Linked DNA regions of Drosophila melanogaster. The protein of the gene in region 1 interacts with the protein of each later gene in a pairwise test. Each region holds a gene or a part of one and is shown on either strand. Other genes may lie near its edges.

What was found.
Region 2: the proteins of Syx8 (region 1) and CG32450 interact in a two-hybrid assay, tested with the Drosophila melanogaster proteins (one large-scale study listed by BioGRID).
Region 3: the proteins of Syx8 (region 1) and Eglp2 interact in a two-hybrid assay, tested with the Drosophila melanogaster proteins (one large-scale study listed by BioGRID).

What each region holds. Positions count from the first base shown.
Region 1 is NT_037436.4:16,585,608-16,589,057, forward strand, and holds Syx8 (syntaxin 8), read right to left. Parts: upstream 1,451-3,450; 5' UTR 1,372-1,450; coding exon 834-1,371; intron 781-833; coding exon 620-780; 3' UTR 501-619; downstream 1-500. Other genes in the region: UQCR-C2 (Ubiquinol-cytochrome c reductase core protein 2), read left to right, coding at 1-417; CG32163 (uncharacterized protein), read left to right, coding at 1,762-2,193; l(3)73Ah (lethal (3) 73Ah), read left to right, coding at 3,245-3,350, 3,413-3,450.
Region 2 is NT_037436.4:22,327,556-22,331,168, reverse strand, and holds CG32450 (uncharacterized protein), read right to left. Parts: upstream 1,392-3,613; 5' UTR 1,276-1,391; coding exon 1,012-1,275; intron 953-1,011; coding exon 740-952; 3' UTR 512-739; downstream 1-511.
Region 3 is NT_033778.4:23,614,610-23,618,442, forward strand, and holds the start of Eglp2 (entomoglyceroporin 2), read right to left. Parts: upstream 2,146-3,833; 5' UTR 1,994-2,145; coding exon 1,902-1,993; intron 102-1,901; exon of another isoform or gene 1-101.

The DNA.
Region 1 (3,450 bases):
AACTGCGCCGGCGGCGTCGGAGCCTCTGTCAAGGCTGTGAATGCCAGCTACTCGGACGCTGGTCTGTTCGGTTTTGTGGTCTCCGCCGACTCCAAGGACATTGGCAAGACCGTGGAGTTCCTGGTGCGCGGCCTGAAGTCGGCTTCGGTGTCTGATAAGGATGTGGCCAGAGGCAAGGCTCTTCTGAAGGCGCGCATCATCTCGCGCTACTCGTCGGACGGTGGTCTAATTAAGGAGATCGGTCGCCAGGCGGCGCTCACCCGGAACGTGCTGGAGGCGGACGCCCTGCTTGGCGCAATCGATGGCATCTCGCAGTCGCAGGTCCAGGAGGCGGCCAAGAAGGTGGGCAGCTCCAAGCTGGCCGTCGGCGCCATCGGGCACCTGGCGAACGTGCCCTACGCCTCCGATTTGGCTTAAGTATATAAACACCTGTACATCTGTTAACCGTAATGTAACGACTAAATAAACCTGATCAAGGGGATCGATCCGCGAACGTAAATACTTATAAATCCTACTTTAATTGGTGTATACATAAATAATCAAACTTTGGGTTAACAGATAGACATTCCACGCAGGTCATAGTATAAAGTAGTATAACAACTGGAATGGATCGTGGGAGCTAGACGAAGACCACGACAATGATGGCGACGAACAAGGCTATGATGACGAGCCAGTAGCCCCAGGTACTGTCCCGCCGGTTAACCTGTCCAATGCTCTGTGTTTCCCGCTGCACACCCGTTTCCACACGGTCCATGGCATTGGCCAAGTTGTCAAGGATATCTACAAGGAGGTAGGGATTAGCATTGGTAGTGCAGGGACTGGGGAATACCCACTGTTCTGGTCCTCCACCTCGTTGCCCAGCTGTGTGGCCAGTTGGCGCTGTCTGGACAATGTGGCTGATAGAACCTCGAGTCCTTCGTTCTGCTGCGCCAGCATCTCGGTCTTTTTCTGCTTCAGAGCCTCCACATCCAAGGCGGTATTCCGCGAGGAATTGCTGTGACCTGGGCCGAGATCCTGATCCTGCCAAGCAGAACCGGATGCGGCCGGGACATTGGAGCGGCTACTGTTTGCGAACTTCTCGCGGATCTCGCGCAGCTGCGAAGTAAGTCTATCCCAGTCGATGCGCCGCTGTTGCAGCTCCTCCTCCGGGCTCGTCTCCCAGGTGATGGCGTTGTCCAGCACCACCTTGAGGTGCTTCATGTCCTTGGCCAGCTGCTCTATTCCCGTCTGAATGCTGCTTGTCAGTTGGACGAACTGGCTCGTCCTCGGATTGAGCTGCTGCCGCTGGTTGAGGTATACCAGCAGCTGATGCCGCAGTCGCTCGCAGCCCTCGTACTCGATGTCCCAGGAATCGTGATCCACCAGCGCCATTTCTCTGCTTTTGCTATGAGTAATTATCAAAAGCAGAAAACTACGCCTCCAGCAATCCAAGTAACAAAAACAAAAACAATAGCCGAGCAACAGCTGATGGCTGGTAGCAAAATAAGTAAGCGCGAGTACGGTCACATTGCCAGTAAGAAGGGATTCGGAAATAATCTTCAATGTTTGAACTGATTTAGATATTATACTTATGTAGCTGTAGATAAGCTGGAAAAATGCACCGCGATTAATCCCCAATCCTTTATCAATTCACCTCGCAGGTGCGTTGCTAGTGTGAACTATTTACTAAATAATTTAAGCTGGTCACTCGAAAATCGTCACTATGATGTGAAGTATGATTATTCGGCCCGAATTCCTGAAACTACTCACAAAAATTAAGAAATGCTTTCCAAATTGCTTCCAATTCTGATTCTGCAAGGTGGCCGAAGAACGTATTCCTTGTGCTCGAGAGATTACACCATCCCCACAAGTAACCACACCCTAACTGGTCAAATTTTAAAGGTTCCAAACCTAAATTCGCAGGAAAGATGTTTTGGTACGCACATTGTTGTCCGGCATAAGAGAGGTCGGTTCTACACCGACATTGGCGAGCTCCGGGCTGTATTGGTATACTCCATCAGGGACGGTGTGATGACCATCAACAGCACCAACGTCCCGGAGGAACTGGGCGGACATGGCATTGGGAAGCTACTGGCCAAGTCGGCACTGGACTACGCACTGTTGAATGGGCACTTCATTATTATAAGGTGTCGGTTTGTCCAGCACTACATCGACAAGTATGAGCCGCAATACGCCAAGTACATATTAAATTAGGGAACCGAAAACAAAACTTCAAAATTGTCGACACAATCAAACTGAACACAAATAAATCCCCCCACTATGCACATAGACACCATACATATAAACGTATATTTGCGTTCAGATTTGTTGAATTCCTTCGGTTTTTGAAAAATTACATGAAAATAATTTGAATTGGCTTATTTTTAAATTATTTCAAAATTTCTAAACCGAAAGGTAACAGATTATATTTAATGACGAAATTACGGTTTCTTATATAAGCTATTTTGTTATGCTTCTAAAAACAAATGTTTTATTACCTCTTTAAAATATGTAAACTAGTTTTCACAATATATTTTAAAAAATTGTTAATTTCCATATATACCACCTTGCATTGTGTGACCACCCTGAAATTAGCAAAGGGCGTTGCCAGACTCCGGCCACCCACGCACATACGATAGTTGGGACCGGCCCGGCGCGGTGGACAAAGTCACGGTATCGATATGGTGACACGATTCACCCACACATGCATGCATTGGGCTACGATGGCTGTGACACAAGGTGTGAAGAAATCACTGGGTTACAATGAGCGCTATTTATAAATATTTTGGAAGTATGCTGCAGGATTTCATAAAAGTAGTATGCAATTGGTATGCTTGATTCATATTGTTTAAAATTTGCTGTGCTACGTCAATTTTGTACTTGAAAAATATGGAGTCGTGACATGCCGCCAAAGCGGTGACTTGTCACGGTGAAATAATCGCGACTAGTAGCAGGTACGCAACTATCGCCCATCGCTAGCTCACACGTACACACAATTTATTTAGTCGTGATTTCTATTTTATTTGTTTCAAATTACAACCAAGAAGGAAACAAATCGCGACCAAAATCCGCTGGCCACAATGCCGAGTGCCTGTACAAGCGTGCGCGAGCATTCCCACTAATCGGAAGCGAGCGCATCCGCCGTTTTGAGCGTTTTCCGCGCGGGAGTGGGAAATCGAAAAGGCAAGGCAAGCCATCGGTCCGCTGCAAAATAGGGATAAATAGGATATAGTAACGTAGTTCAGCACACAATCGGGGGGCCAGCATGGAGCGGCGCGTGAAGCTGAAGACGATCAATCCGCACATAACGTGCAAGATCTGCGGCGGCTACTTCATCGATGCCACCACGGTGACGGAGTGTCTGCACACATGTGAGTTGGTCCGGCATGGAACACTACCTGCCCAATAACGTCAGTGTTTGTTGCAATTACAGTTTGCAAGAGTTGCCTGGTGAAGCACCTGGAGGAGAAG
Region 2 (3,613 bases), 5.7 Mb from region 1:
GTCAATGGGAAGGGGTGTCACACGGAAGGGGATATATCATCAATGCATGCGCTTAGTTGAGTGGAAATAGCTGCGAAATAAAACTATGCATTCGGGACTGGCTTTAAAGTGGAGCAGGCCGAGATGAAAGGGACTTAAATCGCAGCCAGCCCCAGGATCCCATCGCACCGCACCACAGCGCAGCGCGCTAAGCCAGAGATCTGCTTTGAAGCTTTTGATTTATTTGCTTGATGGCAAATCATTAATTTGCTTTGAGCCAGAGCAAAAAGAAAGCACGAAGCTTAGCATGCTTTTCAGCTGCTGTCAGATTTTCGGGCGACAAACAACCACCGCACGAGCAAAAAGGCAGCCGAAAGAAGCAAATTTAAATAAAACGCAAACCAACAAAATAATCCGACACATGCGCTGCCAAATGATTACCCAGGACTTGGCCCCAAAACCCCCACCTAATCCTATGTGCAATGTCTTTCCCTTCGCTCTGCGGGGTTCAGTGTGTTTTTGCAACATAAAAAACCAAACAATCACTTCATTTTATTGCGCCAAACGAGAAAGCCCAAAGCTGACACTTTTCCAGTCGCAAAAAAGGTCTCAATCATTAAACGGAATTGAAGGATCATATCGATTTTGTTGCTTAGAAGGGTACAAAGCCTGGTTGGATTCGAGAAGGTACTTTCCTCGATTCTCGATTTTAAGATCCCCAGTCATATCCGAGTGGGGATCCAACTGAGTGTTGATTTAATTAATCATCGGATCTATCGGTTTTGCGCAGCCAGTGGGCATTGCTGCTTTCACATCTCTTTGCTTTTGGTTCGGATGGATCAGTGGTTAATAGGAGGGGGTCAGAAATGTCCTTTCGCTTCCAGATTCCCTGCTTGTATTCCGGACCGTACTTGTCTTTCATACGCTGTTCAAGCTCGTACAATTTTAATGGTGTCCGTTTAGCCACTGTATGCTGCTCGAGGTCAGACTTGGTCAGAGGTCAGGGGCTATAGGTCCACGCACAAAACTTACCATACTCCGCACATATTTGTACACCCCATAGCCGATGCAGGCCAGAATTAAGGGAACTACCACAAACAGCCCCACGTTTAAACTATTCAGCTCGGGATCGCTGACCACGTGGGTGACATCGACGGTTTCCAGGGCAAAGGGTGGGTAAAAGAAGCGAATGATCTTATAAGTGGCATTGGCCAAAGTATGTTTTGGAAAAGGCTTCACGATGTCCACAAACCTCAACGACCAGTGCGAGTCCGGCGGCGGTACCGTTATATCCATATTTTTAAAAAAATGTATATAGAGAATGTTAAACCAAAAAAAACAGCAACGTCGAATTTTAGATTGTTCTAAAGCGACTTCTACTTGGTACTGGACAAGCAGCACTCTAAAAATGACTGATCCATCAAGGGCAACTCAATTAGGCCCGGTATTCGTGAAAACCCTTTAGCCAGACATAAATCATCGCCTACTTGGGAGCCCCGGAATGGCGTCATTGATTTATTAGCAGGACATACGCTCGAATCGATGCTGCTGGTGAAAAACTAGCGACAGAAGTGGCGGTGGAAAATGAAGCTAAAGTGGGAGCTGAGCAAAACCAGCCAAACCATCATCAGTCACCAGGCAAACAAACACGACGAGGACCCAAAGCGCAACGGCGTCATATACAAAAAGTGCTTGCATACATTACCCCGGAACCCATGAGCCGGAATAGATGTGGGGCGAAGGACCAGGGTCGCAGGACACGGTGTGCGCGGCAGAGGAAAGGACGCGTGCTTACTGCCAGAAACACGTACAAGAAATCATGAAATGTTGCCGCCATCATACCGAAAATTGTACGGGTAACGTGCAAGCAATCAAAGTACATGGAGGCAGGACTAGGCAGGACTCGACTCGAATCGACTGCGGCAACTAGAGCGCCTCGACATTGCCAAGGCCTGTGTGCTCCTCGAGCAGCGCCCACACGTCTGATTTTTACTACACACGTGTGCTGATGTGACGTCGACAGGATTGTGACTGCCTACTGACAACACTAGTGGGCCTTCTCCTTCTTTTGGCCTTCTGGGTCCTAGACTCCAACTGAGCATCTGGTTCAGACCAAGACCGAAACCGAAACCAGTCTGGCCGAAATGTAAAGTATAGTTGACGCAGACGTGCCAAGCTCGACGTGGCTGTCGTAGATGCTGCTTTTTGCTGTTTAAGTAAGCATGCAAATGTCACATGTAGACGGTAGTCGGTACTCGGTAGTTGGCGGTATCGGCAGGAGGGGATCAAGGGGAAGTGGGCGTGATAAGCACTCTCAGTTATGAAGGTGGGCATTGCTTGGTTTTCGGGCTCGCCGTTTCTTGCCCCTGCCACACATAAATGATGAGGTACACGTTGCCTCAGGCTGAATTTAGTGATTTCCCCGAGCATGTGGCATACTTTTTATGCGGCTCCTCCACGTGAGCATAAGGAGCTTCGGTTTATGGTTATTGATTCAGCCGAGCGGAGGTGGAGATAGTTTGAGTTATGGCCTCGGTCTGATTTGTGTCAGCAGGAAGTTTAAAAGAAATTGTTGCGCACTTTCGGGAGGCCAAAAGTGGATTACTCAGAGGGTTGCAGGCAGGTCCCCTGATTGAATTGGCTTAGCTGGGGGCGTACGGAACGAGATTGGATTGGATGGGGATGGGGACTTGCAATCAAAAGCCTAGTTTGTTGCTGCCTTCGCCAACCTCATCGTATTGGCAAAAGGTGGCAACCCTCGATCCACTCATTGTTCGATCAAAAATTCATGGCATACCCGTACGTTGGAGAGGTGCCAATAACTCGGCTGCTCCACTGACAATCGCCACTGTCTGTCTGCCCGTACGCAATTTACAATTACCGCACGCACACACAATTTATTTTGCAGCGCTAACAAATAAGCTAAACATTTTCGTGGCCAAGGGCCGTCCCGCTCCCAGGTGTATAGCAAATCAAAAAATCAGACAGGGCTGGGCACGAAGACACGCCAGGCAATCAGTTAAATGTTTGTTGAACTCACCAGCGTCGAGGTCCTTAAGTTCTCAAGAACGCACGACTCGCCGGTTTCGAGGAGTCCCAGGGGCTTCGCTTCTCCGCTCTCGATGCGCTCCTGCCCTTTTCCGAAAATTGAACTTGTTGGCGCCCAGAACGCAGAGCCCCGAAACCGCACCGAACAAAAAAGACGGAGAAGCAGCTCCGCAGAACGATGAAGCGGCAACTTGAAAAATCGCTTGTCGCACTGCAAGCGAAGTGACGGGGAACGCTCACGCGCAGTCGTAGTGATTTGGCTTTAAAAAAGCAAGGAACATTCCGGAGTTCCGGGGCAGGAAGCAGACAGCAAAAGACGCTATGAAAGCTGCCACGTAATGAAACTGACAATTTAACTCACAGTCAACCAGTTGTTTTGGATTTCAGTACGGGTTCGACGGGGAGCTGTGTGCGTGCTGAAAAATCGTGTTATCGATTTAATGCGTTACGATATATAAGTATATACAACCCTAGTGTGTGTGCAGATTGAAGGGTTGGGCTGGGTTGGTTTGGTTTCGATTCGGAAAAAGGGTTGCTTGCCTTTGGCTTTGGCTTTTATCGCTCGCCTGTGTCTTTGTGACTGGCT
Region 3 (3,833 bases), on another chromosome or scaffold:
TTAGCGACAGCTTTGCTAATTAATTAACGCACACTCAAGCAGACCACGGAGAGCCAAACTAACCTGCGTTCCGATCGATCGTTTGTTTGCTATTGAGTGTGGAAAAGGCCTCCAGCTAAATACGCGCGATCGACTGCGAGTGGGCTGCGCAGTCGGCGTCGCAGCTGGACACCATGGCGTATGATTGCTCTAGCTATATGCTGCTGCTGCTTTCCAGCACAAGCAAGCAGTGCGAAGCTTGCTGAAAAACGCCAACTGCCAGCTGCTCAGTCGACGCTGCGTTCTTACGCCGGTGATGTGAGCTTTTGATAGCGTTATCAAGCAACTAAGTTCACTTTGATATGCGCTTTATTTCAAGCAGCGCAAACAGCTCGCAGCCGGCAAGCAGTGTAAAGCAGTGGACAGTGGAGTTTGGGAACGGGTTTTTGTTGATATCAATAAAAAACACGCTCATCATGATTCACCGAGTTCTTTCAATAACGCCAACGAAATATTTGATATTTCACAAGATTAGAGGCTGAATCTATCAATTTAAACTTTGATTATCTCATTAAATCCATGACAGGTGCATCACTTCTAAAACAACTTTGCTATTTACATTAGTTAAACAAATAAAGTCTAATATAAAACCCATACTTACGGACACAATAGTCACGCAGTCCCGAGTAAACAATTAAAAACCCAAAGTTCCCATATTTGGACACATGGAAGTCATGCAAACTGTGCAATTATAAGTTCGAATAAATATGACAGTCATACCTGTTTGCCTAATATTTCCGCCAATTATCAGAACACCTCAGATGCTGAGGTTGGTAGTGAAACCTAAAAAAAAAAAACACTTCAATTGGTCTCAAGTGGCGCTCCCCAACTGATAAAACAAATCAAAACTGATAGGAAGAGCAAGAGATAGACCAAATTAAATAATTAAAAGCGTGCTATAAAATAAATCAACAGATGACAAAATCCGTGGCAAGCGAGTGATTGTCAATTGAAAAACATCCATAAAATTTAAGTGGCGCGCCCTTTTTGATAAGAGCGTATCAAGAGGGAAGCGGGGATTAATGGCACTGTTTACACTTACCTTCAAGGTTGCGGTGATTGGAAAACTTACCCGTAAGATTCCTGGCTGGATTTTCATGGCACTCACTTCAGATAGCATTGCTTATCATCCACGACCAGCGGTACGTCACTTATCGAAAGCTTTATCGCGATGACGGATTCGGATTTCCTTGTGGCCTTGACACTCAAATCACTCGCCGACTTGCACCCAAAGCATTAGCATTAGCGGCGGAACACATTTGAAGTTCGATAATAAATTATGAACATAGACATAGAAACTATGTGTGCCAGCGATCGAGGTAGAAGCAATTTAGCTCGCTAGATTAATAAATAAATTCAATGAAACCGCAACGAATCAAAGACGCGAATAGAAGCGATTGATGTTTTCGAGAGTTGCTTATCGAGCAGCCATCGTAAACTCACGCGCATGTGACACAGTGTTCGATCCACTTTGGACTTTATATACTCATATACCATATTATTATTATTAATATTATTATTATTATATTATTTACTGGTCCAGGCCAGACTAGCTTGATTTATGGACACTTCGTTTCTGTCTAGCCGCGTCGGGAGTCACCGAAAATTGGTTAAACGGCCTGCGAAAATGCAAAATAAATAAACAAATGCGGCGGCATTTGTGTTTTCTTGTATTTGCAGTGCGGTTCTCGATGCCGCAGCCAAAAATAAATGTTGGCTTTCTGTTTTTGCTGCCTGGTAAGAGAGGGGGGGGGGGCTGGCAACGCTTATGCGCACGTGACGCATACTCAACGTGGCACCGAAAGTGTGTCAGAAATGGGTATACGAAATAGTTTTGTAATAAATAGCAAATGATGTCGCACCTTCTGCACGTTTGTTTGCCACTCGGTGGCTCTTCGCTGCTCATCTTCATTTGATGACCGATTTCCGCGGACTGCGGCTGTTGCACTGGCATTTCCCTCCTCGATTCCTCACTTCAACTCCAATTGTTTGGTCGCTACTTTATTCGCCTTTTCTCTCCACTTGTAAAGCACTTGACGCGGCGTAGCAACTAATTGAATTGCCCGTTTGCAATGGTAATTTTCATGAATCGACTGACTGACTGACTGACTATAGCTATACTACGGCTATAGCTGACTGGCGGAGAGTAAACGATGTCGATGTCGATGTCGCCGCTTAACAAAACCGAAGAGCAAAAGCCAAAGCGCCCATCAAAATCAAATATCGCGCAAAAAAAAAAGGCATGCCATAAAATCGAGGCAGCAAAAACCGTAAGTGCCATTAGACACGATACCCAATCACCAGGTGGGTATATACCCCAAACGAATGCGATGCGCGTCAATCTAGATAGTGCCGAGGGTCTGATCAACGACTTCCTTAGCCATATAGCCGAACTACACAAGTGGAATTTTACCCGACCGAATTGAAATTGATAATGAACTAGCATTGGAGCATTGGAGGATGAGTAAGCCTTAAATACTCCACACAAAAAGATTACCCACAAAACGGCTTGAGATACAAAAAATGTTCGACTATTTCTGCTTTTTCATTACAAATACTTTCCTGTCAATAACTGACAGTGAAAACTGATGGTTACGTTGCGAAGGGATCATGCTACTTTGGACATCCATTAAAAATGTCTGCGTGGTATCCGCTTGGTCGAGTACATAAATTTTCCACTTGCCCTCGTGTTTTTTCGACTTTTGTTTTGATTCGACAGGTTTTCGGTGAACTATTACGTAGAGGGTCATCACAAATTGAAGTGATCTCTTTGAGGTTTTTTTTTTTTTTTGGGCAACCCATTTAATTGCTGCCGCAATTGCTTGCCATTGTTTCGCACAGTGTATGCTAGTTGGAGTTTATCACTCGTGTATGTACATGTATGGATTTATACAAAAAAGCCTTATAAATCCCCCATAGCAATTCCACATTGACGCAAAGATCGGCTTTTTATTTGATTAGTTTCATTCGCGTGCAATATGATGGGGTTGTTTTAGTGCTCTGCAATGGGGGCGGTTCTTTTTTTATCCACTATATTGGAGGCCCGCTTCGATATCACTTATCGGAAAGCAATTTATTGAGCGGACGAGTATTGCTCGGGTTGTAAAAACAAATGATAACCGTTTGTTCTGTGAGTAGACTGTAAATAGATAGCTGAAATGAGCTTACTGTGTTTATGAATTCATAAACGAATTTTATGGGAGTATAGGACTTCTGTTACTACCGTTACAAGGGTTTGCGATTGCCTGCAAGATACTTTCAAAAGATACTGCATACTTTACGGATGCTCTTCTAATGGGTGCATACTTTTGGGCATTTTTCTGATTTTCTATTTCTTTTCAACTCTTTTGCGAAAGTGCTTATTCTAGGTTCTCCTTAACGAATCATATTTTATAAATTTATTTTTGAAAATTCATTCAGCAAAGGTTCCAAAAACAAACGCAGCTCTTAAGATGTATTTATGGCGCCACTGAAAGCTTTTCAAGCTTTCGCTTGCATTTCCTAACGACCAGCTTTTTATACCCTTAAAAGGGGGTATTACGGAATTAGTAAGAGCTTTACAAAGCAGTGGTAGAAAAATGTTCTTCTTATAATTAACTAATTGTTTGTAATAAAATGTACATCTTCATTTGTTAAAGGATGTGATATATGAACCCCAGTGGTGGAAGTAGCTACTGGGGTGGGTTGTTTTTTTAGGGATCATAAATAATAATAATACCTCCGTTTCTAATTATAAAATTCTTAGATTGGATATATACCAAATATAACCAAATGGTAAGCGATTAAAAAGAAAT